Diceros bicornis minor: one gene and its partners. The protein of the gene in region 1 interacts with the protein of each later gene in a pairwise test. Links are inferred from orthologs where the notes say so. Each region holds a gene or a part of one and is shown in the gene's direction. Other genes may lie near its edges. The genes, in order: DVL2, ARR3, AP2M1 and POLI.

Region 1 (7,137 bases):
TAGTTGTAGGGGCGCTGGGGCGGGGTGGGGGGGTTAAGACTGGCGAGTTGCGGGGGGGGGGGTGTAGGTTTGGTCGGCGAGGGTTAGAGCCTGGGAGTTGCGGAGGGTGAGTGGGCAGCAGCGGGGCTTGCTGTGGGGGGAGAGAGTAGCTGGTTGGGCGGGGGGGGGTGTAGAGTTTAGGGGTCCGTAGCCTAGTGACTCGGTGGTGAGTACGGGGGCGGAGGGGGGGGCGGCGGCCGGAGAGAGCTCGAACAGGGCCCGGGGGCCCGACGGGGAGCCCGAGGAGCTCGAGACGGGGAGGGGCCAAAGCCCCGGATGGGGGCGGAGGGACGGCGAAATTGTGGGGAGCGCGGTATGGGGGGGGCAGGTGGGGCCGCGTCCGGGTTAGAGCTCTCTGGTCTGTCCCGGACGCGAAGTGGCGTTGGCTGTGTGTGCCTGTGTGTGTTTAGGTGGGGTGAGGGGCGCGCCGGGCCTCGTGCTCCGGTAGAAGGGGCCGGAGGGCGGGGAGCGGTTCAGCGTGGTCATCCTGGACCCTGAGGGCTGGCGGGCGGCGTGTGCGGTCTCGGAGGACCCGGGGCGGTAGAGCGCGGCCGGGTAGGAACTCCAGGCTCTGGGCGCGTGTGAAGGACAGGGGCAGGCGGCAGCCCTGGCTCGGTCCGGGGAGCGGTATGGCGGGGTGGGGCGCTAAGAGATCCGAGTCGACTGGAGTCTAGAGAAACCGTGAGTTGTGGGGGGGGGCGGGGCGCCAGGCCTCCGGTGGGGGGAAGGGGAGCGCTATAGCGAGGCCTGGGAGGGCGCCGCGCCCAGGCTCCGCCCCTCGCGGGGCGGAAGGGGGAGCAGGGGCGGGTCCAGCGCAGCTGGGGGCCTGCTGGCCTGGCTGAGGTACCTGGGAGAGAAGGGGGATCGCTTGGGACCTTCAAGGTTTAGAGGTGGGGTTTTACACCGACTCTTGCCTAGTGCCTTGACTCAGCTTTTATTGCTTTCACAGATCCACCTCCGACCCTTAAGCCAGAGACTCAGGTGAGGTTTCCCTTACCTTTGCAGCCTAGTATTACTGCCAGACCCCCTCCCCCACCTTTGTCCGTCTCTCTTTCCCTTCTACCTTTTCCACATTCCTCACTCCAGGGACTGTGCCTTTGGGAATGCCCCTCTTACACTCCATGTGATACATGTTTCCTTCCTTTCAGCCACCAGAGAAACGTCGGAGAACAATTGAGGATTTTAATAAGTTCTGCAGTTTTGTCTTGGCCTATGCTGGTTACATCCCCGCTAGCAAAGAGGTAGGGACAGGAGGACAAGTGATATGAAGGGGTGTCCTAGGACTATAGAGGCGCTGTTGAGTAAATGGGACTGTATTACTTTAAAGGAGAAACCTACCAGGAATTATAAGACTAGGAAAATTGGAAACTTGGGTGGGAAAACTAGTGTCTGGGGCGGAGATGGGGTTAATAAAGCTAGGTGACTTGAGCGGCAGTGAATGGTCTTGGGGTACTGTTAATGGAAGTTGCTTTTGGATAAATTTTAGGAAGCTGAAAATGGCAACAAAGGAGGCTGTACAAGAACAGAGCTAAAGAAGTATGGTTCTGGTGTGGGAGATAAAATGTTGTGAAAGCACTGGGCACTGGGGAGATCGCTAGAATTTGAGGGCAGAGGTAACATGGAAATGTTCAAGTGGAGATGTTGATGGGAATTGGGATGAGTACAGTGAGACTTGGTGGTTTTGACAGGATATTTTGGGGTAGATCTAGTTCTTGGTTTCTAATCTGGGTTTGTAGAGGGGCTGAGATGACACTGGGCTGCCTGCTGACCCTGGTCTCTTCCCCTTTTTAAGGAAAGTGACTGGCCAGCTTCCGGCTCCAGCTCTCCATTGCGAGGTGAGAGTGCAGCAGACAGTGATGGCTGGGACTCGGCCCCTTCAGATCTCCGAACCATCCAAACCTTTGTTAAGAAAGCAAAGTCATCCAAGAGAAGGGCGGCTCAAGCAGGTCCCACCCAGCCAGGACCCCCAAGGTCCACTTTCTCTCGCCTGCAGGCCCCTGACAGTGCCACCCTGCTTGAGAAGATGAAGCTCAAGGACTCTCTCTTTGATCTAGATGGGCCCAAAATGGCATCTCCACTGTCCCCCACATCCCTGACACATGCCTCCCGGCCCCCTGCTGCTCTCACCCCAGTGCCCCTTTCCCAGGGGGACCTCTCCCAGCCTCCTCGAAAGAAGGACCGAAAGAACCGAAAATTGGGGCCAGGAGCGGGTGCTGGCTTTGGGGTGCTTCGGAGGCCTCGGCCAGCCCCTGGGGATGGGGAAAAGAGGTCTCGAATCAAGAAGAGCAAGAAGCGGAAGTTGAAAAAAGCAGAGCGGGGGGATAGACTCCCACCTCCTGGTCCTCCCCGGGCACCCCCTAGTGATACAGACTCTGAAGAGGAGGAGGAGGAGGAGGAGGAGGAGGAGGAAGAGGAAGAGGAGGAAGAGATGGCAGCAATGGTAGGGGGTGAAGCCCCAGCCCCTGTGCTGCCAACACCCCCTGAGGCTCCCAGGCCCCCTGCCACAGTGCACCCTGAAGGAGCCCCTGCCACTGACAGTGAAAGCAAGGAGGTGGGCAGCACTGAAACAAGCCAAGATGGAGATGCCAGCTCCAGTGAAGGCGAGATGCGGGTCATGGATGAGGACATCATGGTAGAATCAGGTGAGAAGTTTGGGACACCCAAGGGCAGCTGGGAGGCTGGGTTTAGGGGTGTTGTGGATCCAAGAGCTCAGGCAGAACACCAAACAAACCTTCTTTTCCCCAGGTGATGACTCATGGGATCTGATCACATGTTACTGCCGAAAGCCCTTTGCAGGGCGGCCCATGATTGAGTGCAGCCTGTGTGGGACGTGGATCCACCTCTCCTGTGCTAAGATTAAGAAGACCAATGTCCCTGACTTCTTTTACTGCCAGAAATGCAAAGAACTGCGGCCAGAGGCCAGGCGGTTAGGGGGGCCTCCCAAATCTGGAGAGCCCTGACATCGCAGGCTCTAGGCTGGAACTTCTAAATGACATGACTTGGGAACTGAGCCTCAGGGTCCTCAAGCCTATCCCCTGGAGCTTGGATATTGTCCCACTTCAAGGCAGGAATTCCTAAGGGAGGCTGGTTTGGAAATGAGTTTCTCACATTCCTCCCCTACCCTTCCTTCCCACCTTGTGGACTTGAACTCGGACCCCTTACATTTGGGGGTGGGAAGCTGCCTGGGTCCCTAGACACTTAATCTCTGTCCCTTGGGCCTGCCACCTCTCACTTTCTGGGCCAGGGTTGGAATTGGGATGGAATGGGACAGTTGTCTATAAAACTCTAGTGTAAATATAGCACTCCCGTCCCTCATCTTTTCTTCTGTCTCACTCCCCATTTATTCTATACCGGTTGTATTTTTAATTTTGGACTTCCCCTTTTGGGCATGGCAGCTCAGAGGTGGAGTACCAACCAGAGCCTGGCCCGGCAGGAGGGAAAACAGAAGGGTGACGATTCTCTCACTCACCTCTTGTTTTTAATAATATTGGCCAGCTGTTTGTACAGACAGCCTGCGTGTTGTAAATAAAGCAGAGTGGGCTCTTTTGTGTTTATAGCCCTCACTGACTGTCCTGCTTGGGAGGGAGGCTTTGGAAAAGCTGGCAGAAGACTGGCTGGAGGAGGGGCTGAAACTGACCCCCCTTTCAAGTCCGAGGTGAAAACGACTCTCTGGCCTTAATTGGTTTTGCCCCACCTCGCCCCTGTGTAGGATCCCCACAATCTCCACCCCCCACCCCCCACAAGCTCGCTCCAGCGGATCAGACTTGCTCGGAGCTCCCCGCCCGAGCTGGGTAAAGCAGGGTGGGAATCAGTTGCCTGCTCCCTGAGGGCAGAGACCAGCTTAGCCACGGGACTGGGTGGACGCGGGTGGGGACACATTTGGGGGCGGGGCCGGTGCGGGCTGGGAGACCGTTGCTGAAGGCAGTGATCACGTGGCGGGGGCGCTAAGAGGAGCCGAGTGGTCACGTGACCGGGAGAGGGTCACGTGGCGGAGGGCGTTACGAAGAGCGCGAGGTGGGTCGGCTTGGGTCACGTGACATGGGGAGAGGTGGGCGGGGCACAGGAGGGGCGCTCGCGGCGTCTGCGGCGGTGGCGCGCGGCGGCGGCTGAGTCCGAGGCTTTGGGTCGCACCCCTTGGCCGCCCTCTCCTATCCCCTCGACCGCCGCCTTCTCTCTTGCACCGCTCTTGCACGGGGTCGGTCCTGTACGCGCTCGCGCGTCGGTTTTCGGGTGTGCGCAGGCGCGGCGGGAGCGATTAGCCCGCTTGGGTGGGCGGCGGAGCCCGGGAGCGCGCGGGCGAGACCATGGCGGGCAGCGGCGCGGGGGGCGGTGGTGTCGGGGAGACGAAGGTGATTTACCACCTGGATGAAGAGGAGACTCCCTACCTGGTGAAGATCCCTGTCCCCGCCGAGCGCATCACTCTCGGCGATTTCAAGAGCGTCTTGCAGCGGCCCGCGGGCGCTAAGTACTTTTTCAAGTCTATGGATCAGGATTTCGGGTGAGCCCGAGGCCTAGACTGGGACGGCTGGGGACTGTGCTGGAGTGGATTGGTCAATATTGAGGGGCATAGGTCCATTCTGGGCCATGCTGGGGATTTGTGGGCTATAGTGGAGTAGATTGTGCTATGCTGGGGTAGATTGGGTATCACAGGATGGACAAGGTTATGCTTGGACAGATTGAGGCGCACGGAGCTGTAGGAGGACATACTGGGCTATACTAAACCAGATTAGAGAAGATTAGGCTATATTGGAATAGAATGGGGCTCACTGGTTTATTTTGGGATGTTCTGGACTGTGCTGAGGTGGATTCATCTATCTTTTGGTAGTTCAGTGCATTCTGAGCAGTCCTTTAGCACACAGGCTATGTAGGGATATTGTGGAATCTCCTGACGTAGATAGGGCTATACTGGGGTAACTTAGGGCGCTCTTGCCTATGCTACGGCAGGCAGGATTGTTTTGGGACACTCTAGTCTGTAATAATGCAGAGTGTGCTGTATTGGGATGTTCTAGGCTGCCCTGGAGTAGATTAGGCTATCTTGGAGAAACTTGGGCCATTCTGGTCTCTACTGGGTTGTATTGGTTGATCTTAGTTTTTGTGGGGGCCTAGTTTTTATTGGGACACTCAGTAGAGGAGCAGACAGTCTGTTGGGGTCTCTGCTGGTACAGACAGCTGTATTGGGATATTCTAGTCTGTATTGGTGCAGACAGCTGCATGTGGAGACATTCTAGGATGTGCTAGACTAGATTGGGCTTTCCTGGGGTAATTTGGGACATTCTGGGCTAGACTGGGACTTTAAGTAATGCAGAGTAAGCCCTTTTGTGTCTATAGCCTTTGAGACTGAGCAGTCTCTGTCCTCAAGCTCAGCTTTGAAGGCAGGCTGGATTAGGCTGGGATTGCCTGGGTTCTAGGAGGGCTGAACAGACTGGGCTCTCCCTAGAAAGGTTGTTGGACGTTGGGGAAAGTGGTACTGTGTTGGGAGTTACCTTGGATTTAAATCAAGGTTCTTCTGTTTGTCAGCATTTTAATTTGGCATAATTTATTTAATTTTTGTGCTTTGATCTCATCTGTGAAATGGAGATCATCAAAGTAAAATGCCTACCACAGGTACCTGGCAAATGATAATTGTCATTATTAGTACTGAGTCTGACTAGTCTATAAGCCAGGTTTGTATCCCTGTGGTGATACAGAATAGAACAACTTGGCAGGCTGGACTATGATGAGACTGGATTATGTTGTGAAGAATACTACATTATGCTGAGGCAGATTAGTAGTGCCTGGGCTGTGTCGTCGCTTTGATAGCAAATGGGATTAAGTTGGCATGTATCCAGGCTCCTAGAACCATATTAGGCTAAAGGGTTAATCAGACAGTATGTCCTAATTCAAGAGTGAGGATGTATGAGAGTGTGTGTTCAGGGCAGAGATTTTCATAGCTTATATATTGAGTCCTTTAGTCAACAAATATTTGTTAATGCTTACCAAGTATCAGGTACTTTGCTGTGAGGCTGGGATGCAGTGTTGAACAGAATAGGCATTAATGATTAATGATTTCCGGTGGTAGTTGAGAAGAAGGGACAAGTCCAGTCCATCGCAAGGAACCCATGGGGCAAATGGTCCCCAGGGCTGGGCTTTGGGGTCTGTCAGGTGGAGCCGATTGCTTAGTGCAGAGTTTTGTGCCAGGTGAGGCACAGGGGAGTGGGAAGCCCGGCTTCCCCTCTCCTTGAGAGCTCTCGGCCTAGTGAAGAAGTACCATTCTTTGGTCTAATGGATATTTTTATTTAGGCAAAGACAGCACATTTGGACTGCCCTCTGGAAGTGAGTTAGAGAAAACTAAGGAAAGCATAAGAGTGGAGACTTACATGAGGACCAAAGCCTTTTTTGGGAAGGTGTGTGAGGAACAGGTTAGAGGTTGAGGGGAGGCTGCCTGCAAGGCTCCTAAGGTCAGATAGATATTTTGGGCAGCTGGGGTAACCTCATGGGATGGCCTTTGAAATTGGACTGAGAGGTTTGAATCAGACTCAAGGAAATCTTTGGAGCAGCGTTGAGCCCCTGAGGAGGAGCTGGGGAGAGAAGGAGAAATATGGAAAGGGAATCTTTTGGAGATTTCTTAGGTCTAAGAGTGACGTGTTTCGGTGTAACAGAAGAGGACTTGGACAGGGTGAGAGAAAATCCACATCCTTGAGCTGGATGAGGATTGGGAGAAACTTGAATGGGGATGGGAGTCGGGGGAGCTAGTCCAGTCTCACGGATTTTTATCCCTTCTCTCGGCAGGGTGGTGAAGGAAGAAATTTCAGATGACAATGCCCGCCTTCCCTGCTTCAACGGACGGGTGGTGTCCTGGGTAAGGGGCTCTGGCCCTGAGGCCCCAGTCCCTCCTGTGTTGCTAAGCTCCTCCACGCCTCAGTCTGTTCTGTAGCACTCCTCCTGCTCAGTTGTTGGAGGTCCTGGCTCTTTGCTTTCCTACCTGTCTGGAGAGCCAGCTGGAGCCTCTCAGCGTTCTCTTTATGAGGTCTCTTCTGCTTGCTACGGCTTTTTTGTGCTTTTCTCCAGGCTCTGTCAGACCCTGTCCCTTTTTCTAGTCCTTTTCGTTACTCCCATCTC
Region 2 (7,413 bases), on another chromosome or scaffold:
ACCTTTAGATATTGTGGAATAAAATCGCCTTAACCTCTCAGAATAAACAGTGTGGGTAAGGAGTCCAACTAGTTTTAAATACCAGAAGAACTCTGGGGTATAGCCAGTAAATTAAACAACTTATTTAAGACTCTCAATTACTCTGTATTTCTAAAACCTAAATCATTTTTTCACATTCCTACAAAACCTTCAGAATAATCTACAGAAAGAAATCTTTAGTTTAAAAATTGCATGTTGATCCAGGAGTAAGATATGTTTTTTCCTTTTATCCTAATCTTCCTTGTCCTTTAGCAGAGTTTTATATTATCATTTGACTTGCGTATATTTCTTAAATTTATTCCTTAGCCATTTTATACGTTTTGTTACTTTTATAAAGATAATCTTATACGCACCATATTTTCTAATATTTTTTTTTCTATCGAGGTGCATGTATTGATGTAAAATATAACTTACCCTATACCATTGAGTGATAAAGGCCAATTGTAGGGCAGGATGTGTGGTTGCGTGAATAAAGTGTTGTATAACAAAAATCTATCTGGAATCTCTCGGTATTATTTCTTACAACTGCATGTGAATCTATGACGATCTCAAAATAAAAAGTTTAATTTTGGGCCGGCCCGAAGCTTAGCTGTTAAGTGCGCGCGCTCCGCTGCTGGCGGCCCAGGTTGGGATCCTGGGCGCGCACCAACGCACTGCTTGTCCGGCCATGCTGAGGCCGCATCCCACATACAGCAACTAGAAGGATGTACAACTATGACATAGAACTATCTACTGGGTCTTTGGGGAAGAAAAAAGGAGGAGGATTGGCAATAGATGTTAGCTCAGAGTCGGTCTTCCTCAGCAAAAAGAGGAGGATTAGCATGGATGTTAGCTCAGGGCTGATCTTCCTCACAAAAAAAAAAAAGTTTAATTTCAAAACAGCAATGAGAGAGAAGTCGTAAATACCTAAGGTGGCCTTATGTTTGATTATAGAAACAAACAAAGTTGGGAAGCAAATGCAACAGATATTAATAGCAGTTATGTCTCGAATAGGATGTATAATGCTGGAGCTTTGATTTATCTTTTTGTTTGTATTTTCTGATTTTCAAACAATTAATAAGTATTATTTGTATAATAAACACAAATATAAATAACTTTAGAATAGATGTTGAATTAAAAAAAACAAGCTATTTCCTAGCACAAAAAAGGATGATTCTAAACTGCTAGAGAGCCAATAAGATCTTGGGCGGGGGGTGATGCCCTCCCCACATGCGAACAGCTGGATGTGCCAAAAACAATTCATCTGATTAACCCCCTCACCTCAGAGGTTACTGTATACCCTTCTGCCTCACCCCTCCTGATCTTTTTCTGTCTTATCCCTCATCTCTTTCATTTCTTTCCTCCCTCTGCTTCCTTCCAGCCACCTCTTTTCCTCTCCTTTTCATCTTCGCTGTCTTTTCCTTTCCTTTGTCCCTTTCCTTTTCCTTTTCTTTCTCTCTCCCTCTCCCACTTTAATTGGCCATAATTGAGAACCAAGGTGAATTTATTTGTTGTATCTTTTGAAAATTGTTAAGTTTGCCTTCACTGCAGAAAAATTAGAAAATACAGATGAAGGAGAAAGAGACTGTAATCCTATCACTCAGAGATAATCATTAATAATATTTTAGTTCATATTTTCTGTGCAAAACTATATTTTTATTTAAAAAATGCTATACTATAAATAATGTTTTCTAATCTTCTGTTTCTTCTATGTCAATATATAAAAATCTGTGAATTTTTAAGTTGCCTAGTACTATATTGTATGGGTGTACTGTAACATATTTAGCCAATCTTCAACTGCTGGACATTTTTTGCTATCATAAACAACCCTGTAAAGTACATACTTGTATATATATCTTTTCATACTTGTCCAATTATTTCTTCAGACTACATGCCTAGAAAAGGAATGAATGGTCAAAGGGTAGTCACACATTTTTACAGCTTTCTATTGCCAAATTGCCCTCCAAAATGTACCAATTAACTCGCTCTCCTGCAGTGTATGAGGCTGCCCGTTGCCCCAGTCCTTATAAACACCACCACTATCATTACTTTCAGTCTTTGTTGTATCTTTTGAATATAGATTAATTTCTCTTGTTCTTAATTTTAAAAGCAGACAATCTGGCTGTTTGATATTTTCATCTCTTAAAAATACTAAAATAAGTTGCTTTCTAGTAGTGTGTAGCTGTTGGTAGTTTTCTTTTTTTTTGGGTCAGGGCTCCTGATAGAAATAAGATTCTCCACCCCTGTTCGACATCTTTCCTTCCCTCGATCTCTGTCACTCTGCCCTTGGCCAGGTATCCCTCTATGCCCCATCCCACACTCCACGAGTGCATTAAAGAGGCTTTCCATTTGCCCCGGATCTTAGGTACCAGCTGCAAAGTATGAGTTCACTTATAACTGGCCAATATTCCCACAATTATCATCATCATCCACATTTATAATTAGTTTACAATTTCCAAAGGGATTTCTTATACATCAGTTCCTCACAACCATCCTATGAGTTAAGTTGGGCACACACGAGTCTGGGCTTTGGAATCAGACAGGCCTGGGTTGAAATCCTGGGCCGTCACTTAACCGCCCTGAGCTCATTTTCTCTACCTGTAAAGTGGAGATAATAATACTTCAGAGGATTGTTTTGAGGTCTAAATAACATATATAGAGCTCTTAGTGCAGTCCTATTATTGACAGGTGAAATAACTGAGGCTCAGAGAACTCAAGAGATTTGTACAAGTCATATTCAAGCCCAGGTATCCTGACCCTAGAGAATTATGTAATGAATAGCCTCTACCCACCACCTAGCTTTAAAAAGAATTATAGCAACAAACTGAAGATTCCATGTGTCCTTCCCTAATCCCATTCCCCTTCCTCCCTCCCACCTCCTTCTCTCCTTGCCTCCACCCAGGTAACCATTAGCCTGAATTTGGTGTTTATTATTCTCATGATGCTTCTATACTTCGACTCCATATTTATATATCTGTGAGCAACTTTGGTATTCTTCCATATGCTTTTTTTTTTGCTGAGGAAGATTCACTCTGAGCTAACATCTGTGCCAATCTTCCTCTATTTTGTATGTGGGTCACCACCACAGCACGGCCACTGACAAGTGGTGTAGGTCCACACCCAGGAACTGAACCCAGGCCGCCCAAGCAGATAATGCCGAACTTAACCACTAGGCCACAGGGCCAGCCCCCTGTTCTATATGCTTTTAAACTTTATATACACGGTATCAGATTGTGCATATCATTCTGCACCTAGCTTTTTTACTCAATAGTTTTCGAGACTTAACCATGTTGATACGTGGAATTATAGTTCATTTATTTTAAACTCAGTTTAGTATTCCATTATATGACTATACCACAACTGTATTACCCATTCTCCTGTTGATAGACATTTAAATTATTTCCAATTTTATGCCATGACAAACCTTGATGCAATAGACATTCTCATATCGATCTCCTTATAAACATGAGCAAGAATTTCTCTAAATTCTCTTTAGGTCATAAGATATGAACAGATTCAGTTTTACTAGATAGTGCCAAACAGTTTTCCAAAGTGGTTGTACTAATGTATGCTTCCACCAGCAGTGTATAATGAACTCCTATTGCTACACATCTTTACCAACACTTAGTATTGTCAGACTTTGAAATTTTTGACAATCTGATGGGTGTGAAATGTTCTCTCATTGTCGTTTTAATTTGCATTTATCTGATTATTAATGAGAATGGACATGTTTTCATATCTTATTGGTCATTCTGTTTTGTACATCTGCAAAGAGGCTATCCATATTCTTTGCATCCCTTTTTTTTGTTGTTGTTTTGTTTTGTTTTTTGTTTTGTTTTTTTTTTTGCTGAGGAAGATTCGCCCTGAGCTAACATCTGTTGCCAATCTTCCTCTTTTTGCTTGAGGAAGACTCGTCCTGAGCTAACATCTGTGGCAGTCTTCCTCTATTTAGTATGTGGGTTGCTGCCACAGCTTGGCCACCGATGAGTGGTGTAGGTCCACGCCCGGGAACTAAACCCGAGCCACCAAAGCAGAGTGTGCCAAACTTAACCACTAGGCCATGCGGCCAGTCCCTTTGCACACTTTTATACTGGGACATTTTTATTCTTGATTTGTGGGAGTTCTTTATATATTATGAATGGTAACCTTTTGTTTGTTATATGTGTTGCCAATATTTTCTCCCAGGTGTTTGCTTGTTTCATTGTTTATAAAGACTCTTAATGTAAAGAAGTTTTAAATTTTACTGTAGTCAAATGTATTAATTCTTTTCTTTATGGCCATATTGTTTCGATCATATTACATTGTCTCTCTATGTCTTCCTATGAGCCATTTAAGACCTCCTTTTCTCCTCAGGCCTGACAGGTCACTCTCTTCCTCCTTTGCCTGCAGTGTTTGTCATGTTAACATGTGCCTTTCGCTATGGCCATGATGACTTGGATGTGATTGGTCTGACGTTCCGCAAAGATCTGTATGTACAGGTCCTGCAAGTGGTCCCAGCTGAGGCCACCAGCCCCCAGGGGCCCCTCACAGTCCTACAGGAGCGACTGCTGCACAAGCTGGGGGACAATGCCTACCCCTTTACTCTGCAGGTACTGACCCCAAGTCCTGGGCAAGGTTTCCAGGGAAGATTAAGAGAGGAAGCTAAAGAAAGAGAAGAGGGGAAAGGGGTCCCTATTTCTTCTGTTTGCTGACCTCCTTCTGATCTCCTAGATGGTTGTCAACCTGCCCTGTTCGGTGACACTGCAGCCAGATCCTGAAGATACAGGAAAGGTGAGGTCTGGGTTCTGAGAAAGAGGGATAGACGGTCAGCGCTGGGAGAAGGACAGAGGGACAAATGGACAAGATTGAAGAAATAGACAATTAAAGGATGAGGTCAGGCATTTCCTTATAGGCCCATGAAGAAGGGAGGGATAGTGTTAGAAATGAGCTCTCTTTGCCCCTGCCCCTTTGCAGGCCTGTGGGATTGACTTTGAAGTGAAAAGTTTCTGTGCTGAAAACCTGGAGGAGAAAATCTCCAAGAGGTATTCTTTGGTCCTCTCCAAAATCCCTGCCTCCAACCTGTGTCAGGAAATAGATCTTGTTCTCAGGACAGAAACAGTGCTACTTCTAACCTCCATAGCACCATCATTACCAACTCAGATGCCCAGTTCTGATTCCCCTCTGACTTCTCTTCTTTGCTCTAGGGCAAGGGTCAGCAAACTTTTCTGTAAAAGGACAAAAAATAAATATTTAGGCTTTGTGAGCCATACAGTTTCTGCTGTAACTACTCAACTCCGCCAGTGCAGTGCAAAAGCAGCCACAGATAGAATGTAAATGAATGAGCATAGCTGTGTTCCAATACAATTTTATTTATGGACACTGAAATTTGAGTTTTATGTAATTCCAAACATCATGAAATATTACTTTTCTTTGATTTTTTTCAACCATTTAAAAATGTAATAACCATTCTTAGCTCGCAGGCCATACAAGAACAGGCAGCAGGCCAGATTCGGCCAGTGAGCCATAGTTTGCTGACCCATGGTCTAGATCCCTACACTGAGGGTCTAGAGGAGTTCTCTGAGGGAGGCCTTCCTCTACCTCTAACGTCCAAGTAAAGACTGGGTTATGGTGTTGGCACGGGAAATGTCTGTGGGTCCCAAAGCAGACATTCTGGCTAACCCCTTGGCCTCTACTCAGAGACTCTGTGCGCCTGGTGATTCGGAAAATACAGTTTGCACCCCTGGAGCCAGGCCCTGGCCCCTCAGCCCAGACTGTCCGCCGCTTCCTTCTGTCAGCTCAGCCCCTACAACTCCAGGCCTGGATGGACAGGGAGGTTTGTGACCCCCCCACTCCCTGCCCCCTGCCCTACAACCCCTCTGAAACTCTTTCTTCACTGATTTTTCTACTTGGGTAGACAGGGATGGGAGCCAGGGTGGCAATAGTGCTAATGAAATAGGAATTCTAGGTCTTGACCTGGGCATTCTCCCTCCAACCTTGTGATGGGCCTCTCCTCCTGCTTCAGGTTCACTACCATGGCAAACCCATCTCTGTCAATGTTTCTATCAACAACTGCACCAACAAGGTCATAAAAAAAATCAAGATTTCAGGTGAGCTTCTTTTCCTATCCTCCTGCACCTGGTCCCAAATCCACAGGTCTTTTTTCAAAACTCTGCCCCACTTACCCAGTCTGCATTCATCTAGGATTTCCCTCCAATGCAGGCTTACCAAAATATGTGTCTCTGTCCATGAGCACATTTGAGTGCATCATGCATAGTGTGCCCATGTATAAGGTCACTTCTGAGGGCAGTGAGTTGGGGTCTTGAGGATGACTGACTGATTATAGTCATGTGCTTTTCCTGGCTGTTCAGTTGACCAGATCACAGATGTTGTCCTGTATTCACTAGACAAGTACACCAAGACTGTGTTCATTCAGGAGTTCACGTGAGCTGGTGCTGGGGCCGGGGTCAGAAGAACCAAGGGGTGGGGTGATGGGAAGAGGGCCAGGGGGCTGGAGGCAGAGGAAGGGATTGGAGAAAGAAGGAAGCAAGTAACAGCCCAGGACTGAAGAAAGTCAAGGTGAGGGCTGACATGGAGAAAGGGAGGGACTCCCAGGAGAACTAGAGGGAGGATCCACAAGAGGATCATCAAAATGCTGAGAGAGGGAAGGGGCAGAAGGATTTCCCACCAGAGTGAATGTTCCATTCTCCACAGTTAGACATGCCAGGTCTCTGGGATACTCCAGTATATTCATGAAATTATGCAAGATACTCTTGGGAATGAAAGTACCCTTAGTCGGCAAGCCTAGCCTAAGTTCTTCTCTTCTCCTTTCAAAGGGAAACTATAGCTGCTAACTCCAGCTTCTCCAAGAGCTTCACGGTAACCCCACTCCTGGATGCCAACTGCCAGAAACAGGGCCTGGCACTGGACGGCAAACTCAAGCATGGTGATACCAATCTGGCCTCCAGCACGATGTAAGCTCAAATGTAACTCCCCATTCTCTATCCCCAACACATTCTGCATGCTATATATACAGGTCTAAGGTTTCACCTTCAATGAAGCCTACCTACATTTTTAAAATGTCCCTAGGCTAGTGTTCAGAGATCCCTCCAGGCCTGAGGGCTAACAGTAAGCTAAATAATGCCCATGGGACCAATGGCAGGCTTAGGTCATAGGCAACAAGAAAGGAAAAAATGGGGCCGGCCCTGTGGCTTAGTGGTTGAGTGCACGCGCTCCGCTGCTGGCGGCACTGACGCACCGCTTCTCCAGCCACGCTGAGGCCGCGTCCCACATACAGCAACTAGAAGGATGTGCAACTACGACGTACAACTATCTACTGGGGCTTTGGGGAAAAAAAAGGAGGAGGATTGGCAATAGATGTTAGCTCAGAGCCGGTCTTCCTTAGCAAAAAGAGGAAGA
Region 3 (6,858 bases), on another chromosome or scaffold:
TACCTGGAAGGGAAATAAACGGAACTAAATCCAGGCGCGCTAACTGCTCGCTGGGCGCAGCGAGGGCGGGGTGCACCCACCGATCGCCACCGCAGCCCCTAACCTGCCCCCTGCCCCAGCTTGTCCCTCTGCCCACTAACCGCTGCGCGGGACTTCCCAGGGTCCTTCGTGTCCCTGGGAGCCGACTTGCTGGTGCTGCTCCTTACTTCCCTCTCCCCCGCACACACTTCAGGAGTCAACCCAGCGGTGCCCTTGAGGCCCTGCTCACCCCCTTGTCCCCTCCTTCTCCCCCTCAGTTCCCTTCCACCACTCATTCAGCGACATCCTCCCTCTATTAATCCCATCCCCTCGAGCATGTGTGCCAATCTCCTGACTTTTCCACACAATACTGACACCAAAAAAATACTTGCTTCATCTGCCTCTCCTCCTAAGTGTCCCCACCTGCTGCCTCAGTCCTGCAGCCCAGGGCTGGAGTCACCTCCAGTGACTATCCATGCTATCCCTGCCTGCGCTCAGCCCTTACCAAAAGCCCAGGAGGCCCCTCAAGTTGCCTGAGCTGCTAGTGGCTTCCAGAGAGCATCTCTACTCTCCCCTCCCCCCGACCCTGCCGCGCCCCTATGCCTGCCCTGTGTGCTGGTTCCTTCAGACCCCTAACCCTACTAACCAGCAGGCTCATCTCACCTCTGGGCCTGAAACATTTCTTTTCTTTCTTTTTTCCTCTCCTTATTTTTCCTGGGCCTGGAGCAGCCAAGAATTTCGGGCTGTTTGACTTTCTGTGACCCCCCGCGAGGGGAGGCCCTGCCTCCGAGGAGACCAGGACCCCTGCTTCAGGAGCTCCTCAGGGGATATCGGAGGATATTCAGCCCCCACACCCACACTTCAACATGCTGAGTCACTAGGCTTCTGTGAAGGTCCCCACACTCTCTTGCCCATGTATGGGAGACTCTGTTCCCCTTTCCAGAATATGATCTCTCTCTCTTTCTGTCTTTCACACACGTGCAAGCGTGCATGTACACACACACACACACACACACACACACACACACGTGCCTATGCAAGTTTGCTTAAGCCTCAGGGCTGGTCCCTGCCCAGAGGGCTGGACTCTCTCTCCCTGTCCTCTCCCAGGTCGTGGGGCTGGTCCCCTGACATCCCTCTCCCTTCCTTGTAGCCCTCAAGCCTCCCACATGTCTCCATCATCCTCCTACCTGGATAAAGCCCTTAAGCCAGGTCTCAGGCCAGGCTCAGCAGGGGACTCTCCGGCACCCCACACCCTTCCCTATTTTCACAATCACCATGATACCCCAGAGCAATGGTGGGCAAGGGGACTTCTGGAACTTCCAGACAGAATGCCAAATTTTATTATTTACCTTATTCTCCAATTTAAACAGAACATGACTTTCTCTTTAAGCCTCTTCTATAAATTCACCTGGCTCACCTAGGCTCTCATATTTTCAGGACTGGCTGTCAAGAGTGAGATGAAGTCCTAAACTCCAGGCTTTGGGGCAAACCAGGGTAGGGCATTTTGGCATTCATTCATTTATCAAATACTTCCTGGGGTTTCTGTTGAGTGAGGGCTGTGTTGGAAGTCTGACTCAGTCTTGCCTGCCTTCTGGAAGCTCTGGGTTTGCTGCCGGCCTGGATCATGGCCTCCTCTAGACACTACTAGGGCTGCCTCCTGTACTTCTCTTCCTTCTCTGACTCTACGTTGTCCAACTCTCTTGAGAATTCCTCCACTGTTGCTCATGCCTTCAGTGTCGGTGCTCCCAGTGTTCTATCTTCAGTCCACTTCTCTTTCCTCTCTATTTACTCCCCAAATGGTATCATCCATCCTCAACTGCCACTGATATGCTGGTGATTCCCAAATATATTATCTCCAGCCTCAACTTCCCTCCAATCTTTAGATCTGTATTATTATCACCCACTGGACAATCCAGGGACATGTCTACATGGATTCAACTCATTTCCCCACCAAGTGTGTTCCTCCTGAATTCCAATCCTGGGTACCTTCACCACACTACATAGGCTCACCAGCTAGAAACATTTATGGGCTTAAACTCCTTCCCATATCTTACTAGTCAGCGTATCATATCCATTCCACTCTAACAATCTTTCTTGAATTTGGCCCTTCTTTTCTCCTCTGCCTCTACTCTAGTTCACAGGAGCATGGGATTTGGAGTCAGGTGGTTCTGGGTTTGAATCCCAGCTCTACTACGTTTCGGTTGTGTGATAGGAGAGTTATTTATCTCTCTGAGCCTCAATTCCCTCATATGTAAAATGACGATAATAATACCTACCTCACAGGGTTGTTGTGAGGATTTAAATTAGATATTGTACGAAAAGTGCCTAGCACAGTGCCTGGCACACAGTAGAATAGGTGCTCAATAAATGGTAGCTATTATTATTATTATCATTATTATCACCATTATTTACTCTAAATTAGTAAGGGCTTAGGGTATGTATTGAAGATAAAGGGAGGAGTGAAGCCCTGAATGCTGGTTCAAGGATTAGAAGTGCCTGTATTTGGTCACTTAATGGCTTCCCACTGTGAACATGGTTTGAAGGAGACCAGATCTTCATCCTGCCACATCCTGGTTCCTGGTGGGAGGATGCTAGGTACAATATGGCTTGAAACCCATTTTGCTATTTCTTGCCCTTCCTTTCATGTCAGCTCAGCCCTGCCTAAGGAAGGCAGCAGGCTATATCTCCCTACAGAAAGAGAAGAGCCCACAAATTTTCTTCAGGTCCTGCAACAGCCACACAAGCCTTTCACGTTCAAGAGTTGGCTGTCTCCTCAGCTTGATTGTGGAGATTAACTCTGTTCATCAGAGTGGGGATTTCAAATCCCATGTCCAGTTAAATTTAACTTGCCAAAAGTTTTCTAAGCAACATATATGCCTGTCACTAGAAGGCACACAGGTCCTGGCCTTGAAGAGCTCACAGTCACGCAGGTATAGCTGAGGTGGAACACTGGGCATATTCTTGAAAAGCTTTAGCTAGTTTCTTCCAAGTACTTGCCTCCTTACTCCCTGCCTCTTAGCTTGGGTCTTGACCCCTGGGAAAAGGCTCATGTCTGGAACAAATAAGTGATGAAAAAAGCTTGGGAGAATCACAGGTGGTGTTAGACAGCAGTAAATTCAGCACAAACACTTCTACTGCCAAGTCTTGTGTTTGTGTGTCATGTGAGGACAGCTAGTCCTTGGACTCTGAAGACAGAAAAGTCCCCACAGCAATCAAAAGCTTAACAGTTGGGGGCTGGTAGGTGGTGTAGTGGTTAAGTTCATGCGCTCTGCTTGGGCAGCCCAGGGTTTGAGGGTTCAGATCTGGGTGTGGATCTACACACTGCTCATCAAGCCATACTGTGGCAGCTTGCCAGGTACAAAATAGAGAGGATTGGCACAGATGTTAGCTCAGGGACAATCCTCCTCAAGCAAAAAGAGGAAGATTGGCAACAGGTGTTAGCTCAAGGCCAATCTTCCTCACCAAAAAAAGAATGCTTAACAGTTTTGTTTCAACAAAGGCCACTAATCCTCTGAGACTCTCCGAAATACTAAAACAGGAAGAGGAGGGACGCCACACACTACAATTCCCAGACTGCTCAGAGGGGAAAATGAAGTGAGCGGACCAGCTACGCTGTGATGTGTATTTGGGGTAAGGCTAGATAAAGCCACTCCTACTCACTCCCAGGGCACTCCTACCCACCCCCCGAAGGTTCTCGAAGCCCGTCGGTAGTTGTAGTTCTGCTAAACCTAGAGAGCTTAAAATTGTAAGCGAGGAGGCCGAGGAGCCTGACGGGATTTGTAGTCTGCGCGGGAGGCAGATGCGCACGCGCAGCCGAGGCCGGGGCGGGGCCGCGGCACTGCGGTGAAAGCCGAGGCAGCGGGCAGGCGAGCAGGGGGCGGGCGGACATCTTGGGATCCAGAGAGTGGCCGGGCGGGCCGAGCAGAGGGCCGCGGACGCCAGGTGAGCTGGGGATCTGGCCTTACGGGGTGAAGGAGGACGCCTGCCCCGCTGCTCTGCATTGCGCTGCGCGGAAAGCTGCCCACACCCGGGAGTGGGCTCAGCCTTCAGATCCGGAGGGAGCTGACGGCGGGGCGGGAGCGCCCAGGGCGCGGTTGCAGCACGGGCGGGGAGCGGCGCCCTCCACCTGACCCGCCCTGCGCCTCCCGAGAGAGGGAGACCTACTGGAATCCTCCCAGAGCAGGGACGTCGCGCGGCGTTCCCCTCCCTGGGATCGTGACAGCCCCCTACCCCTCTGCGCCGCCTCCTCTCAGCGCAAGGACAATTCCCCCACTTCAGGACAGTGACACCCCCTTGTGCCGCCTCTTTGGACTCTGACAAGCCTCCACCCTGCGGCACCCCCTCCTCCCAGTAGAGTGACACCCCGTGGCTCTTCTTTCTCAGGCCTGCGACAGCCCCCGCACCCCGTGGAACCATCTTTTTCGGCGATATTTCCTCCCCAGGGTGAAAAGGCCGCCCACTTATGCCTCTACACCTGAACCCCAAAACAGGTTCCGTCTCCCCAGCTTTCCACCACTGTCAATCTCTCCCTGCCGTGTTTCCTCTTCAAGGCCTTGACCTTTGCCATACTGGAAGCTTTCTCCAGGTGCCCCCGCCAGCCTGTCGCTGCTTTGGGCTCACCTGAGCATAGGGCTTGGCTATTGCTGCCAGTCTTTTCCCTTAACTGAATATTCCATTCCAGTCCTGGGGCCCATCTCTGCTTCTCTTGTGCCCTGAGCTCCCCACCACTTGATACCTGTGAACTTGGTTCTTTCCCCCCGGCTCAACCTCCATTTTGCATTTCCTCTCCCAGCCTCTTTGCGACTGAGGGATGGGATGTGTCCACCACCTTGGGAGACCCCTCACTGCGCCTGGGAGACCTTGACGGCCACAGTAATAGACTTTATTTTCCAGTTTAGAAAAGTCTGCCAAACTCCCCGCCTGCGAACTTAATACCAGAGCTAATCCAAGAAATCTAGAACTAAATTAAAATTAACCCTTTTTCTCCTTGTAAACAATCTAAATGAGTTTGACCCAGATAATTTGCATAATTGAGGCATTCTGCCCCTTGCTTATAGGCTCTCAGGCCAGAAGTGAGTTATGTTGTGGGTCTGGAATCACAGAATTTCAGCTGGAAGGATCTCTTAATTTTAAGGACTTGCATTTCCCCCCACCCCCGACCCTCCTTATTTTTATTGTACTTGGGAGCTGAAAGGGAACCTCCCTTTTTGAAAGGGGAGTAGTCAAAAATAACTAATAAGTAGCTTGGGTCATTGAAGTGTAGTGGGCCAGGGCTGAGGCCTTTCTCCTCTGCTCTTTTGCCTGCTTATCTGATTGTCTGGGAGAGGTTGGAGCCACAGTCCTGGGTCCATGTCAGGGCCTAAGGCCTCCCTTCTCTCCTCCTCTCCCCACGCTCCACACCCTTTCCTGGAATGTTTAGGCTTCTGTGAATTAGGCTGGAGGTTCAGGCCCTGCCGCCTTTTCAGAAGGGTAGTGGAGCCTGAGAGACTGGGTGTTCCTAAAGCTGTGCCTGGGGGCCCCAGGCCTGAACCAGTTGGAGTAATTTCTACCGCCATTCCTGCAGCCGCAGGCAGGCCTTCGCAGTGACTCACTGGCTAGAGCCTGGGTGAGAGTCTGCACAGGAAAAGGAGAAAAGGATCCCTACTGAGTTCAGCTCTGCTCTGTGGAGAGGGGGAGGGGGCTACTCTCTGGGTTCAGCCCAGAAAAGGGAGGGTCAAAATGGCCTTAGAGTCCTGGGCTCCAGTCCCTCTCCCTTTCTTTCTCCCTTCCAGGATGGGATAAACAGGAACTGGAGCCTGGCTAAGGGGAGGGGCCTGCCTGGGAGGGCTGCAGGGTCACTTGCTGAAAGGTTGAGTCAGGAAAAAAGCCCAGCCACTGACCTGCACAGCCCCACAGGGGACGTTGGCAAGGCTTCTGAGGCCTTCCTTTACCCTGCCCCCGCCTGTCTTAGGTCTGTTCTCAGAGCGATGGGCTGCGGAGACTGAGCTGCCGCCATGATTGGAGGCTTATTCATCTATAATCACAAGGGGGAGGTGCTCATCTCCCGGGTCTACCGAGATGACATCGGGTGAGTCCCCTGGCTGAGCCAGCTGTGCCCCCACCCTCCTCAGCCCTCCTCCCCAGCATGTAGGACCAGGTCCCTACCAGAGGCTTGACTTGGACCACCCCTACGCCTTGCTGCATCCTGGAAGCTCAGCTAGTACAGTCTGGTTCCCATTAGGTCCGGTGGTGTTGGCTTGGCAGCCAGTTGCTGGCCGCTAGGTGGGACCTGTGGAAATGGCATGGCCCTCATAGTCTTAGGGACTCCTGTCCTTCCTGTCTTCTGTTTCCCTTAGTGATAGACCTGCTTGCTGGAGATGAATGCTTTTGCTTGGGCAGGTTGATACCTCCTTTGAGGAGGAGGGAGATCAGTCTCCAGTGGGTGGAGTTAGTGGCCAGGCTGGAGGTACTAATCCATCTAAGTCTTCTCATGGTGAGAGCCTTCACTGTATTCTCTTGAAAGCCTCTCCAGGCTGCCGAATCCTCTCCCACTCCCTTTCTCAGAAGGAGGCAGGCTGCTGACTCAGTTGTTTTCAGTTCCTCTGGGCTACTCCTGGAGGAGAGGTTGTGAGCAAGCCTGAGGCATTCTGCAGGTCACTGAGGGAAGGGCAGGGAGGCCATGCTACCCTTTCTGGCCTGTCAGAGTAGACCCAGAATAGTTCCTTGTTCTGGATCCCTCAGATCTTAACAAGGAGGCACAGCCTTACTTTGCCTTCTGCCCTACCCTGCATTCCACTGTTCTTACTGACTGAAAGGACATGGCCTAGCCTCAGCAGCTCTAATGAGATTAGGCTCTTCTGG
Region 4 (7,807 bases), on another chromosome or scaffold:
TTAGGTCAAGGTGAATCTTCTTCAGCAAAAAAAAAGATAAAGATAACATTCCTATAGAATTTTAGAAGGTTAAATTTGTCCTAGGGAAGGGGAGTATCAAACTCCTGAAGAAGGATAGAAAGACATTCACTGCAGCAAAAAATCAGAAACGTGTCCATCAATATGGAGCTGGTAAAACAATGCATCCATTAAAAAGAAGGCAGTAGATTTTTGTACATGGAAAAGAAATGATGATCAAGAGATACTAAGTGAAAAATATGGTGAAGAAGAGTCTGTATAGTATGATCCCACTCATGTGAATTAGAAATGATGATCACTATGTCTACCCTATATTAAGTATTATAAGAAGTCTGATGAAGTGTATCAATATATATTGTTAACAGTGGTTAACTCTGTTAACAGTGGCTATCTCAAGATGCAGTAGGGATTGTGGGGGGGTTTCACTTTATACCTTATCCCTGTTTGTCTTACTAGAATATCTTAAACAACGGATGAGAAGAAAAATTTCTTTTTATCAGAGGCACAAGCAGTACTTTCAGGATTAATAGGTACTTTAATGAAGTCTTTGAATCAACTTTAAGAAATAAGTCCTATAAATATAAATATTTTCCTTTATAGAGAGTTTACATTACACTCAGACCAGGAAAATGGAGATTATTGACTAAATTGAAATTATTAACATTTCCAAGATGACATTGCAACCATATTTATTCATTTCCTTCAAATTAACATCAAAAAGAAGTAAGTTTACAAAGGTTTTTCTATGTCATTTATTCAGCAATGCCTCTCACAATGATTTTCATAGCTTGATAGAGAAATAGATATAGAAATTTATTTGTGAAATAAAATAATTTTCTTCTTAAATTATGCTTTATGAAAAGACTGTCAAAGCATGGTCATCTCTAAGCACCAAGATTATACATTACGTCTATTTTCTTCTTACCTCCTGTCTATATTTTCCAAATTCTCCATAATAATCACGAATCACTTTTACAATCAGAAAAAGAGGTTTTTTAAAAAAATTGTTACATTAAAGTTAGGTGTCCATACATTTAACACAGTATATCTAATCCACGTCAATCTGCTTGCACTTTCTATATGACATCAAGTAGTTATCTTTTTCTCAATGACTGAACTTTGCAGACTTTATTTACAAACTGGGAGCAAATGACTTGTATTGTGATCAGATTAGTCCCCACCTCTCTCTATCCAAAATGACAAGGCAAAGTCCATTGAGCACACCCTGACAAGCAACATTTTAAATGTCGTTACTAAAATGACTATGCAGGCCTCTACAGAACCACAAAGAAAGGTCAAAGCAAAGAGAAGCTTACTGTTAGAAAAACTCCAGCCTGTTACACCTTCTCTTAGCCACAAACACATAGTACGCAGCAAATACTTTTAGGTTACACTGAGAAAGTTTGAAACTGCAGCTTTGGTGTGCATTGTGATGTGCAGAAAAAAGGGAGAGAAAAATAGGGGTTTCTTCATGACGACTGAAGTTTTTATGCAAAGGGTTTGAGATCCTTGGATGAAAGTTACTAAGTAAATACTGCATGACATGCACATTGTACAACAGCATATCATAATTATAGTTCGCTTTCAACCATCTGAAGCCTTTCGGTATTTTCTGGTTTTAGCTTCTAAGCCTTGTAAATTATTTCTGACTCATGAGCCTTTCACCCTAGGGGCAACTCACAAGCTCCATAAAAGTATGGATATTTTTCTTAAATCTCTTTTCCAGCAAATGCATTCATTTGCTGTTTAGCCTCAGAATGTACATTCCCACAGTGAAAAGCAACTAAATAATACTTGTCTTCCCCTTTTATATCCTCCTTTTTCTAAAAATGTCATATTTATAATTAAAAGCACATATCCGAAGACCAATTTTTTATTACAACTGAGGATCTTAAGCTGAGGAGGGAATTGGGAGCAGGATGGTGTAAATACTACTAGGCCAGAGTGCCCCAACCTTGGCCCAATCGGCACCTTGGGCTGGGTAATTCTTTGTTGTGAAGGGCTGTCCTGTGCATTGTAGGATGTTCAGCAATATCCCTGGCCTCTACCCACTAGACGCCAGTAGCGCAGAGCTCCAATCCTCCAGATATGACCACCAAAAGTGTCTCCAGACATTGCCAAATATCTCCTAGGGGACAAAATGGAAGACCAATTGAGAAGACCAAAGACGATATAAAACCAAACCCTTTGTGCCTTTGCCAATTCAAATTGTTCCTTTGATCCCATGATCAACCTCTACCTAACCTACCACCAGCCTAAAACACAGACAGTCACAAATGCCCTCACATTCTTCATGCCAAAGCCCTTAAACATTGTCTAGAGTTCTGCCTCTGAACCATATGTGGCCAACTTGGCTAGGAGGAGAGAAGCAGGCACTGGTAACTGTTTCCCACCCTTCACTGACATGGGTGTTCATGCTTATCACTTTTAATGTATGTAAATTCATAATGTCTTGACTTCTGAGGCTCTAAAATGGCCCCAGTTTCTTTATCTGCTAGCCACACTCTGCAACTTCATGCTCCCTCATGAATATTGTTTCAACCATAATTTAATTAAATATGTTTGTTCTACCTTGCAATTGTTTTTCTCATTTGGCACTTAAATATACAATATGATCCAGGCTCAAAATATTTATTTCCTGAAATTATCCTAGATTAGAGCCAATTAATTAAAACTGGGAGAGGGGATTTATAGAATTTAAAAAACCCAAAAAACAAAAAACGCTTTCTCTAATTCATCCCACAACAAAGCAACACATATTAGCTCATATAAATTTTCTTATTATGCCTCCTAATATAGTCAAGGGATGTTTATTCTTCCTGCTCCAGGTTGTCTGGTGTTTGAAGCACCAAGGAAAATGGGCAGAGGAAGTGATTTCCTCTACGGAAGAAACATTATTAATGAATTCTTCCCTATGGAAAACTCTGAAAAGTGGATCTATCATTACTAGATTTGTAATCTTGAGTAAGCACCTTAGTCTCTGCCGGCCTGTTTCACCTTTGGTAAAATGAGAATGGTGATACCTACCCTCTAGGGCATGTTGAATGAGATAATCTGTTTTAAGCTCTTAGCCCTGTGCCTGACATACAGGTGTTTAAGAAGTCATTTTCTATGCCACTTCCCTTTGTCCCCAGTACCGGTTAAATAATTTGTGAGGTTCAGTGCAAAATGGAAAGGAAGGGTCTCTTATTCAAAATTATTAAGAATTTCAAGACAACAGCAGAACATGAAGCCATGTCTGGGGCCCTTCTAAGCAGCTCTCTGTTATGGCGTAGGTTATACACTCATAAAGCCAGCCCGGCTTACTCCCCTAGGGTTTTCAAGGTTCTATTTGTCTATCCTTCTACTAAATTAAAAGCCACTCTTCAATTTCATAATTGACAGGGAAATAAATGCAACTAAAGAAGGCTTGATTATGTGTGTTGTTTTTCAATGCTGGCTCACTTTTACTCAAGCTGTTGAGTGTTAGTGAGCCCAGAGCTCTTATAAAGGAGCTGTTTTCATTTGCCATGGTATTGTAGAGGTGTGTATCATTCTCAACATGGAGGAATCAAAAAAAATACTTTAGTTGTCTACAAGTAATTGGACCCTTGAAGATAGGCCAAGAGGCACTTAGTGGCCAAAGAGGTACTTAATTCAAAAGGTCAAAAGCTCTTTATCTAGACTTATCAAACAGCATTCACAAAGAAAGCAGCATTGTTCTAAATCGCTGTTTTAGATCCTAGACTGGACACTTTTGGGGAACTGGTCCAGATGTCTAAGTGTAAAATACCCAAAGAGGAAGACTTGGTCTCCAAACCACTGAGCCCCAGGTCTGCCTGTTATTCCCTCTCCTTTATGGATGCATCAACATGTCCTTTAAAGGATTTCTCAATGTTCTCACATCCTATTTATAAGAGCAGATCCTGTAAAAAAACAAAATGTGTGTGAATATATACATGTATACATATACATACACTGCCGCACCTCCAGGCACACAAGGTATCTTAACAGAAGGCAGAGATTTGACATTTATTAAGCACCTCCTATGTGCCAGGTGTTTTATATACACTGGAAGATTAGAGTATGTTTTCATCCATTCATTCATTTACTCTCAACACCCAAGACAGCTTTTTTTTTTTTTACAGTGGAGATACTGAGGCTCAGAGCAGTTATGTAACCTGCCCCAAATCACACAGTTAGTAAGCTGGAAGATCTGGACTGGAGATTTTATGACCTCAAAGCTCATATAATATCAAAATCCTATTCAGTTTAGATGATTAAAAATCAGGGGTCCAATTTGTCACAGTCTCTTTGAATCAAACAAACAAAATGCAACAAATTTCAACATACTTGCTAATCTTATTCGTGTATATGGCCGCCTTGCTCTTACCATAATTTTCACCCTTTCCCCCACTCCCACTACTATAAATCGCTCAGCATCTTACGGTTAGCAATTTTGCTAACAGTTGATCGGGAGAACAGGATGGCCTCTCAGCAAAGATTAAAGGTTAACTTTAATTCGTGGTCTGGAACTAACACCGAAGACCTCAGGAAAAAAACGAGCTGTTCGGAATGACAACTCCTCACTTCCGGCCTCGACTGCGCGGGAGGGAACTTGCGCACGTGAGTCCGAAGGATTCCCAGCCCGCGCCGCCCTCCGGGTAACTGGCTGGTCGGCCCGGACGGCGCAGGCGCCAGGGCCGGAGCGGCTGGGGCCGGTCGGCCCGCGGTTTCCCTGGAGACCGGGCGGAAGCGGCCGGAAACTGCGCTGCGGTTGGCCGCGGCTGGATGGAGACGCAGGGGGTGGAGCCTGAGGAGGAAGGCGGCCGCGACCAGGAAGAGGACGCGTCTCGGGCCATGGAGCGGTTGGAGGCGGGGGCAGCCGGCAGCTCGCCGGAGCCTGAGGAGTCCGACGATCTTCTTTGGTGTAAATGAGAAGGGCGGGGCGGGCGGACACCCAGGGCGGCGGCCGCGGCCGTTGGGGTGTGACGGGCCCCGCCCCCCTCGGTTCCTTTCCGTCGTCCGGGCTCCGTCGAGAGAGCTGCCCTTCATTAGTGTTTTGTGGCTAAGACCCCGAGCGGGACAGCTTCGCCTAGTAGGAATAGGGTGGGTGCGTCAGTGTGTTCGTGGAGGGTGCATCTGTGGTGCCTTAGACCGCCCAGTGAAAGCCTAAGAAGCTCCCGGGCGGGTTAAGGTGCAGAAATGGAGAACCTTGTCGCCCTCCCGGCACAGGTTGGGGCCTGGCCTCAGCCCGCGCTGGAAGAAATGGCTCGGAACCGAGGACGAGGCACGTCTGCAGTGGCCGCCTCTGCGGTGACCCACTTCCAGCCCGTGGGCTCTACTTTGTACCACCCAACCCCAGCGCCTGGGGCCGGGGCTCTGCTTTCCTGCACTTTTTTTTTTTTTTAATTGGAATAATTTTAGGTTTAGGGGTAGCTTTTCCTAACGTTAATAATCTTACAACACCACGGTACATTTGTTAAAACTAAGAAATTAACGTTGGCATAATACTGTTAACTAAAGTGCCAGCTTTATTCAGATTTTACCAGTTTTTTCCACTGATTTTTTTACTGTTCCAGGATCCAAACCAGAATACCACATTGCATTTAGCCTGCCTTGTTAACTGGTGTTAAGAGCTGGAATCCTCTCTGTCAACCCCTCGCCCCGCCATGGCATGAACTACTTTTAAAATCCAAGAAATATTTACTTATTCTTTCAATTTAGCGAATATTTATTGGTAGTCTGTTGTATGCCAGACACTGTTCTAGGAACTGGGAATTAAGCGCTGAACCAGATAGTCCTGCTCTCATCTGAGAGCTATATACAGTCCCCTGGAACCCGTAGGTTCTGTCTTCTGCTGTTTTGTATTTCTGATTTTTTTTTTTTTTAAGCCTAAGGACATGCCGCTTAGAATAATTTTTGTTGGTTGAAATCAGCGTTTAAACTTGTCTGCCCCTTCCTATTTACTCTGAATTTTACTATAAACTTCTTGGTGGTAGGATTACCTCTTGCATCTTCCATTATTGATCAATTCCTGAAATTTATTACTATCCTGAGAAAAATACAGTGCACAAATAAATGCTAAATAAACAGGACTGAAGACCCTACTATAGATGGAGTTTCTCTCATGTTTGTAATTTTTAGATGCTTTGACACAAATAATAAATCCAGGAAAAAACTTTTAAAGTCACTCTGCATTCTTCTTTCTCAATTACCATGTTTTAAGGAATGGCCAGTTGCTCAGAGATGATAAACAGCCTGAATATATTTTTGTATTTTTTTGCACATTGTGCATGCAGTTCATGATCAGCTGGAGCCAGCAGGAAGTTCTTCATCCAGAGTCATAGTGCACGTGGATCTGGATTGCTTTTATGCACAAGTAGAAATGATCTCAAATCCGGAACTAAAGGGCAAACCTTTAGGTAATTCTAGTCATTGATAATATTTTCCTAGTATGATAGGATTAGCTACTCATTTATTGTTTATTATGTTCTGATTTATTAACCATACTAAGAAAGATTTGGAAGCAGTTCTTAAGGTGTTTTATGGATGATCTTTGCTTCACTACCAGGTGTAAACTTTATAAGGCTCATTTATTAAATGGTGAATTTGATGGAGGTAGTATGGCCAACTGAACAAATGAACAGAACCCATAATAAACTTGTAGTCTTTCTCAATGTGTGAAATTTTATAATCCTCTTATCTCAAAAACAGCCTCTTTTATAACATTTTAATGGAAGCTTTCAGCTGTCCTCCCATTTTGAAATTAACTCTTGAATTGTGTAATGTCTGACAAAATAGTTGGATTTTGAACAGGACCTTAAATATTAAGGCAAGCGTTCCATAAAAGCACAAGTATCTTTTTAAATAAAAGGCAGAGAAATTTTACGTTGAGGATTTACTTATTAGTATGTTAGCTTGTTTTAACATTTTTATTATATCTTAAATTGGAAAAGTAATTTAAATTTCCAAAAATTTCTTTTATGCGTGTAGTAAGGATTTATCTTTTAGTATAAGCTTCAAGAGCAATTTTGGTTCACCTGCTGCTACCCTCTTGTGCCTGGTTTGGTTCTGATAAATCCCAATTCAACCCAGCCTAGTTGATTTACTAAAGAACAAAGGGATGACTAGTTTTTGGTACACCAAGGTCAGTCTAGGATCTTTAAATTTACCTAAGGATGTCAAGGAGTTAGGATTAGGGGGCCTAAGTTTTCTCCTAAATGTGTTTCTAATTAGTAGCATTATAACACAAGGTGTTTTGTAGATAATGCTTAATAAAAAGATATTGTGTAATTAAGACTGAGGAATGAATGTGTATTGGGAAGTGAGGGATGTGATGATGAAAGTTTCTAGGAGAAAGCATATGTAGACTTTCATCTATACTCAATAAATATGACTACGTAACTTGGGCTGGTGAGATATAGTGGTGAGTCCATATAATTCAGCATTAAAAGACTACTTTTTTACTTAAGGACGTTACCAGTCTGACTTTTTATGTAGTTCACTGACAAATCTTAAATTACTTTTGACTCAATGTTCTATTTTTGGGCATAATCTGAAATCTTTATGTGAAATAATGTTTCTTTGTCTTGTTTATATTATCAAAATTTTAGAAACAAGTGTCTTACGTTAGGGGAATGGGCATAACATTTTTTTCCTTCTTGTTTGTGTTTTACATATTTTAAATGAGTTACTTTTATAGAGGTAAACAAGTAGTCAACTTGTGTAAAGAAAAAAGCAAATAATTTTAGCAATCTTAAGTCACTAGTAAACTAGAATTTGATCCAGTCTGTAGAAGATCGTAATT

The links.
Region 2: the proteins of DVL2 (region 1) and ARR3 interact in a two-hybrid assay, tested with the Homo sapiens proteins (2 studies listed by BioGRID and IntAct). The two-hybrid records come from large-scale screens. The link is inferred for Diceros bicornis minor from reciprocal best matches to the Homo sapiens genes DVL2 and ARR3.
Region 3: the proteins of DVL2 (region 1) and AP2M1 interact in a two-hybrid assay, tested with the Homo sapiens proteins (2 studies listed by BioGRID and IntAct). The two-hybrid records come from large-scale screens. The link is inferred for Diceros bicornis minor from reciprocal best matches to the Homo sapiens genes DVL2 and AP2M1.
Region 4: the proteins of DVL2 (region 1) and POLI interact in a two-hybrid assay, tested with the Homo sapiens proteins (2 studies listed by BioGRID and IntAct). The two-hybrid records come from large-scale screens. The link is inferred for Diceros bicornis minor from reciprocal best matches to the Homo sapiens genes DVL2 and POLI.

Annotation. Positions count from the first base shown.
Region 1 is NC_080757.1:11,049,220-11,056,356, forward strand, and holds the start of DVL2 (segment polarity protein dishevelled homolog DVL-2), read left to right. Parts: upstream 1-4,125; 5' UTR 4,126-4,343; coding exon 4,344-4,537; intron 4,538-6,807; coding exon 6,808-6,877; intron 6,878-7,137. Other genes in the region: PHF23 (PHD finger protein 23), read left to right, coding at 989-1,020, 1,188-1,280, 1,832-2,681, 2,785-2,999.
Region 2 is NC_080781.1:63,647,864-63,655,276, forward strand, and holds the start of ARR3 (arrestin-C), read left to right. Parts: upstream 1-4,413; 5' UTR 4,414-4,415; coding exon 4,416-4,607; intron 4,608-4,728; coding exon 4,729-4,788; intron 4,789-4,971; coding exon 4,972-5,039; intron 5,040-5,694; coding exon 5,695-5,830; intron 5,831-6,019; coding exon 6,020-6,104; intron 6,105-6,365; coding exon 6,366-6,438; intron 6,439-6,830; coding exon 6,831-6,968; intron 6,969-7,413. UniProt on the Homo sapiens protein: May play a role in an as yet undefined retina-specific signal transduction. Could bind to photoactivated-phosphorylated red/green opsins.
Region 3 is NC_080754.1:39,500,183-39,507,040, reverse strand, and holds the start of AP2M1 (AP-2 complex subunit mu), read left to right. Parts: upstream 1-3,858; 5' UTR 3,859-3,960; intron 3,961-5,968; 5' UTR 5,969-6,011; coding exon 6,012-6,085; intron 6,086-6,858.
Region 4 is NC_080755.1:46,122,870-46,130,676, forward strand, and holds the start of POLI (DNA polymerase iota), read left to right. Parts: upstream 1-4,788; coding exon 4,789-4,927; intron 4,928-4,933; exon of another isoform or gene 4,934-5,106; intron 5,107-6,299; coding exon 6,300-6,422; intron 6,423-7,807. UniProt on the Homo sapiens protein: Error-prone DNA polymerase specifically involved in DNA repair. Plays an important role in translesion synthesis, where the normal high-fidelity DNA polymerases cannot proceed and DNA synthesis stalls. Favors Hoogsteen base-pairing in the active site.